Macaca fascicularis: one gene and its partner. The main gene of each other region encodes a partner of the protein of the gene in region 2 in a complex. Links are inferred from orthologs where the notes say so. Each region holds a gene or a part of one and is shown on either strand. Other genes may lie near its edges.

What was found. Proteins that work in one complex are often made in the same cells at the same time.
Region 1: PHF20 (region 2) and KANSL2 share a complex: the UniProt entries of both Homo sapiens proteins name them as parts of the NSL complex. The link is inferred for Macaca fascicularis from reciprocal best matches to the Homo sapiens genes PHF20 and KANSL2.

What each region holds. Positions count from the first base shown.
Region 1 is NC_088385.1:55,461,648-55,464,677, forward strand, and holds the end of KANSL2 (KAT8 regulatory NSL complex subunit 2), read right to left. Parts: intron 2,233-3,030; coding exon 2,113-2,232; intron 1,691-2,112; exon of another isoform or gene 1,554-1,690; intron 1,343-1,553; coding exon 1,211-1,342; 3' UTR 572-1,210; downstream 1-571. UniProt on the Homo sapiens protein: Non-catalytic component of the NSL histone acetyltransferase complex, a multiprotein complex that mediates histone H4 acetylation at 'Lys-5'- and 'Lys-8' (H4K5ac and H4K8ac) at transcription start sites and promotes transcription initiation.
Region 2 is NC_088384.1:91,946,874-91,950,527, forward strand, and holds part of PHF20 (PHD finger protein 20), read left to right. Parts: intron 1-2,947; coding exon 2,948-3,061; intron 3,062-3,654. UniProt on the Homo sapiens protein: Methyllysine-binding protein, component of the MOF histone acetyltransferase protein complex.

The sequences.
Region 1 (3,030 bases), on a different chromosome or scaffold from region 2:
AACCCTGCTCTAAGATTCAGTGTCAAAACAATCTTGACAATACCTTACTATCTTAGTGATCCAGCATCAGGCCCAATTTCTCTTATGTTTTAAGTATATTCCTACCATTAGAGAATTTTGAGATGGCATGAGCATTATTGTTTTTTTAAATAATTATTTAAAATTTGAAAATATAGACACAGGGTCTCAGAATGTTGCCCAGACTGGTCTGGAAGTACTGAGCTCAAGTGATCCACCTATCTCAGCCTCCCAAAGTGCTGGGATTACAGGTGTAAGCCACCACACCTAGCAGAGATGACATTGGCATTAATCGTGAGAAATGGGAGTGGGAGTAGGGGACACAGAGTGGAAGGGTAGAAAGAAGATATTTGGAACTGATTGGCTTTAATAAGTCCTGCCCCTTTTCATTTACTTCTTCCTTAAAAGCAAAACCAAAATGAGCTACTGAAGATTTATTTTTTCCTGGGATGGAAGTATTATCTGCCCCAACTTCCCTTTCCCATCAGAGACAGGTCCCTAAAACCGCGAAAGAGAGACTATATTCTCAAACAAAACATGCATTCAATTCAGGTGACTGTCTGATATTTTCATAACATTTTCTTTAACATTTAATAGAAACTATATACAATAAATTTGTACTATATTTTACATAAGATAGCAACCACAGAAATTTACATAGGTTAAAAGCAAGATGGATAAGGAGGACCCAGTCCTGTGGGCTGTTTTCTCAGAGGATAAAAGCCAGAGTTCACCACGGAAACAGGTTAAAGATTGCCCAATTAAGTAGAGGTGAAGAAAAGTTAAACTGCAGGTCTTTAGATAGAGATAACCAGATATTAGGGCCATCAGTATCTAAAAGACACTACTCACAAAGACAGCTCCCACCTAGCTACTTAAGTGGATTTCTATCCATGACTTTGGAAATCCCATTACAAAGATGTCACTTTCCTTTTAGGTATAGTACCAAATAATCCCAGAAGCTTTGATAGGGATTATCTCTCTTCCTTGCCCTGAGTGGGAAGAAACCCACAACTTTTAAGAAGTATTGGTCCATGTCCTCAAAATTTGGCTTTACTTTTGACTATAATACTCAATCCAGAAGAAAAACAAGATAGTCTGGGTTGCCTGTGTTTTGCGAGAGATGATCAGAAATATTTCTTTGAAGAATGAGAAATTTAAATCCACCAAAGTAAAATGGTTCCCCAAACTATCAACTAATAGAAGTGGGTTCTGGCTTCCCATTTGCAGTAGCCAATCCACTCTGAGACAATGGTGCAGAGGCTTTCTCAGAATTTCGAGATCCCTGGGATCTGCACCCATCTCCAGCCATCTGCATCTGGCCCTGTTAAAAGAAATAAAGGCACTTCAGTTAGAAATTCATTCACTGTGGTCTGAAGTATGAATCTGACTTATCAGTGGCCATTTATACTAGCAATAAGAAAAATACAACAGAAATTAATTAATTCTGGACAGATGCTCCTCCCTATATTAGCTATCCCTGTCCCTTGGAAGAGCCTACTCCTGAGCCTCTTCCAATGGGTTGGAGAGCTGTAGGTTGTTTCTTCCAAATGAAAGAGCCATTCCCTGCTGAGGTCCCAGAACAGCCAACAGACCATAGGAAGACAGTCCTTTAGGCCTCTGCTTGAAACCAACAGCTACAGTACAACTGCTGGTTTTCAGTCAGGGCCACTGGAATTCTACCCAAGGCTCACAGACAGAACTCAAATCACACTACTTTACTGGTCATTCTATAATGAGAACAATTTCAGTGCTGAACTCTCCCTCAGAAGGTACAGTTTACCTAGATTCCTTATCTCAAGCTTTTATTTAAATAAATTTATGTCCTACTCTGGGATATGAGGATCAGGGGCCATTAGGTGTTCTAAGAGTCTATCTGGAGAACTACAGCAACAAGGGTATACAGGAGCAAAGTAGGGCATTTTTAAAAGTGCTTTGCTTATATGGTATTCAATGAGCGAGAGACATGTGGAGCATCTTTATACTAGTGATGACACCCCACTCCCCTCCAGGAGTACATGCTATCCAGCAGGGAACCCTCTGCCTGGCCAGGTCTCTACATGCGGGAAACAGGTGGGATTGTTCTTGACTTGCCAAAATATCCACTGGGTCTTCAGCAATTTCTTTGACTAAATGATCTTCAAGGGTTAGTGAAGGATCAAAAAGCAAAGGTGAAGGAGGACACTGCATACCATCACCCACAACATCCAAGTCCTAGAAAACAAGAGAGAAAAGCCCATCAGCAATACCAAGGGAAACAATAATAAAGGTGGTATGTTTTTCAGCAAACTTTAAAGCAATACTCTGCTGTCTCCCTCAACCCTAGCCTACCTTTGATCAAAAAAAAATTTTACCAGAACGTCCAACAAATGAAACAAGATCCAAGAGCACTGAGAGCTCTTGCTGCCAAGTGTAAAACATAGACCAATATAGTGGATTAAAAAACACAATTCTGGCCACCACACCTATAATCCCAGCACTTTGGGAGGCCGAGGTAGGCAGATCGCTTGAGCCCAGGAGTTCAAGACCAGCCTGGGCAACATGGTGAAATCCTGTCTCTACAAAAACTGCAAAAATCAGCCAGGCGCAGCAGCACACACCTGTAGTCCCAGCTACTCCAGAGGCTGCTGAGGTGGGAAGATCCCTTGAGCCCGGAACACAGTGGCTGCAGTGAGCCGAGATTGAGCCTCTGCACTCCAACCTGGGTGGCAGAGTCAGACCCTGTCTCGGAAAGAAAAAAAATGTCCAGGAAAATTCATAGAAACACGAAGTAGGAACGGAGAATAGTAGGGAACAGGGGAAAGGGAAAGGAGAGAGTTACTGTTTAAAAAATACAAAGTTTCTGTTTGGATTGATGAAAAAGTTCTGAAACAGAAAACATTGATAGCTGTATAACATGGTAAATGTTCGTACCACCACTGACTTGTACACTTAAAAATGGCCAGGTACAGTGGCTCATGCCTGTGATCCCAACACTTTGGGAAGCCGAAGTGGGAGGATCACTTGAGGCCA
Region 2 (3,654 bases):
AAACCCAGTTGAGAAAATCTGGAAATTTTAAACCTCCAGGCAGAGCACCATGTTAAGATGTGGGATGAGTGAGAGGCAGGCCCTTTTATGTAAAGTGGGAGAAGGGCAGTTAAAAGCAGTTATTATACAAGGAGGGGTGGAAAATGTAAACTGGCAGAAATCTGACATGTCCTTAGCTTAGTTTAGGAAAGAGTATCTGTGAGAACTGAGTGTTTTGAAACTGATTCTCCTTTAGCTATTCATGCCCTGGCTTATACCCTCGAGAAAGTATGTACAGGAGTAGTTGTACCCCAATAAGCAGACTGCTCCTTTGAAGCCACATGACTCCATTGAGATAAGAAAAAGGACATTTGGTTTTTATATTTTTATAAGTGTAGGATTTCATAACGAGTAGGATAAATTTAATATAGAAAGGATATTTTCCAAGTTTATGGTTAATCCTTGCCCAAGGCATTTGTAAAAACAGATTCCAGCCATGTCTCAGTTCTTTCCCAGTCAGACTGTCTGGATGGGAACCTGGGAATATGAGTTGTTAACAAGCTTCCCAGATGACTTATACTGTAAGAAGAGTTTGGGAAACACTCAAGTTCTGTATAGTCAGCCCCTGTTTATATACAGTATCAAAGGGAAGAAGACTTGCCAGATATCCTATATATTGTTCAAATCCCCTTAAAACATTACTTGGAATAAGTTCATTGATTTTTAGAGCCTTCTTTGAACACCCTAGATTGTATAGACTTGATTGGGAACAGGATATGAGCTATTTAGAGAGGATTGTTTGTATTTTTTTTTTTTTTAAATTTTTATTTTTTTGAGATGGAGTCTCTCTCTCCCAGGCTGGAGTACAGTGGCACGATCCCGGCTAACTGTAACCACTGCCTCCTGGGTTCAAGTGATTCTTGTGCCTCAGCCTCCCGAGTAGCTTGGGACTACAGGAGCGTGCCACCATGTCTGGCTAATTTTTTGTATGTTTAGTAGAGACAAGGTTTCATCATGTTGGCTATGCTTGTCTTGAACTCCTGAGCTCAGGTGATCTGCCTGCCTCTACCTCCCAAAGTGCTGGGATTACAGGCGTGAGCCACCACACCCAGCCAGCCTGTTTGTATTTATGTTTAACATGGAATGTGTGGGATTTCCAAGTTCTGCCAGTTGGAACAAAATAATACTGGCACATTGGGAAGCTTGAACACAGGAAGAACCTTGGAGTTCAACGGTCTTCTGGTTTGCTTCCTCACACTTCAGGCCTGTGTCTTGTTGAGCCATTTGACCTACCTGAAGCTACAGGTCTTAGATGAATCTTTTCTGTCCCTCTTCCCCCTTCTCATCTTTCTCCCTTCCCTTCCTCTTTTCTTTCCATTTACTTCTCTTCCTCCATCTTCCTTTCCTCCTTCCTCTTCTCTCTCCTCATTTTACCCTTCCTGAGACCCCTTAGCCTTGCCTTCCTGCCCAACTTCCCAGTTCCTTCTGCCTGCCTTTTTGATTCTCATCTTTTCTGATTTGGGGAGAGCTTCTTAGGTCGTAGGTTTAAAACTAAATAGTAAGGGCCAGGCTCAGTGGCTCACGCCTGTAATCCCAGCACTTTGGGAGGCCGAGGTGGGCAGATCACCTGAGGTCAGGAGTTCGAGACCAGCCTGACCAACATGGAGAAACCCTGTCTTTACTAAAAATACAAAATTAGCCAGGCGTGGTGGTGCATGCCTGTAAACCCAGCTACTTGGGAGGCTGAGACAGGAGAATCACTTGAACCTGGGAGGCAGAGGTTGCAGTGAGCTGAGATCGCGCCATTGCAGTCCAGCCTGGGCAATGAGAGCGAAACTCCATCTCAAAAAAAAAAAAAAAAAATTAATAGTAAGTATTATGCCGGGCAGGTGGCTCACGCCTGTAATCTCAGCACTTTGGGAGGCAGATCACTTGAGGTCAAGAGTTCAAGACCAGCCTGGCCAACATGGTGAAACCCCATCTCTATTAAAAATACCAAAAAAAAAAAATTTGCCAGATGTGGCAGGCACCTGTAATCCCAGCTACAGGGAAGGCTGAGGCAGGAGAATCGCTTGAACTCAGGAGGCAGAGGTAGCATTGAGCCAAGATCGCGCCACTGCACTGTAGCCTGGGCAACAGACCAAGACTTCATCTCAAAAAAACAAGCAAGCAAGCAAGCAAACAAACAAACAAAAAACTAAATAGTAAGTACTCTTCAAAGGCTTACCGTCTGTACTGCTAAATTACGTCAGAGCTGGGTTTGCCGGGGACCAGCAGGCTTGCCTGGAACATTGACTATTAAGTAGCATAGTCTCCCAATAATTTTTTTAGGATTGTGTTTAAGAAAATACAAATTCTTGGCCAGATCTCATGGCTCATGCCTGTAATCCCAGAACTTCGGGAGGCCGAGGCGGCTGGATCACTTGAGGTCAAGAATTCGAGACCAGCCTGACCAACATGGGGAAACCGTGACTCTACTAAAATTACAAAAATTAGCCGGGTGTGGTGTTGGGTGCCTGTAATCCCAGCTACTCTGGAGGCTGAGGCAGGAGAATTGCTTGCACCTGGGAGGCGGAGGTTGCAGTGAGCAGAGAGCACGCCACTGCACTCCAGCTTGGGGGACAGAGCAAGACTCCGTCTCAAAAGAAAAAAAAAAAATTCTCTTAGACATTTTTCTTGTACCCTCAAAACTAGGCTCAATGCTAAGGTAATTAATGTAGCAAGTAGAGGTTGAAAACTGGAGCTGGATCATAGAAAAGATTCAGGAGGTCAATCTGCAAGGTATCTCCTATAAGGAAGTAATTTCTCACTCATTTTACTTTTTTTCTTTTATCTTAAGTAAGAATGACATTTTGATGGTCCATTTATAATGCAGTGATTTTTGCATATATATGTTTTATTTGTATATAAAAATGACAGACACTAAGAAATTATGTATCTTTTTTGTGTGGTTTTATAAACATGGTAGCTGTGGATTCAAACTCTCAAACTTTGCAACCAATAACATTGGAATTGAGAAGACGGAAAATATCAAAAGGATGTGAAGTCCCATTAAAACGTCCTCGACTTGACAAAAATTCATGTGAGTTTCCAGTTTGTTTATGTGTGGCTAGAATTTGACATTGTTTGGGTCAGCCTCCTCTATATTCATCCTGTCCCCCATTCCCTATAGGCTCTAATGTTTGTCTCTGGTCACATGAGGTAATGTGAGTAGGATGCAGTTGGATCAGAAGGAGTTTTTGCTAGAAGAAAAATAAATCCCAAAGCACAAACTGTGCTAATGCTGGGTTCTGTGGTATCATCTTCATATCCATAAATCACATTTGATTTGGATGCCACTGGAAATTTAATGGCTTAGGAAGGGATGGGTTTCTATGTAGAGTGAAACTTTAAAAATACTACTTATTGGCCGGGCGCAGTGGCTCATGCCTGTAATCCCAGTAGTTTGGGAGGCTGAGGTGGGTGGATCATCTGAGGTTAGGAGTTTGAGACCAGCCTGGCCAACATGGTGAAACCCTGTCTTTACTAAAAATATAAAAATTAGCTGGGTGTGGCCGGGCACAATGGCACACACCTGTAATCCCAGCACTTTGGGAGGTGGAGGTGGGCAGATCATGAGGTAAGGAGATCGAGATCGTCTTGGCTAACATGGTCAAACCGCGTCTGTACTAAAAA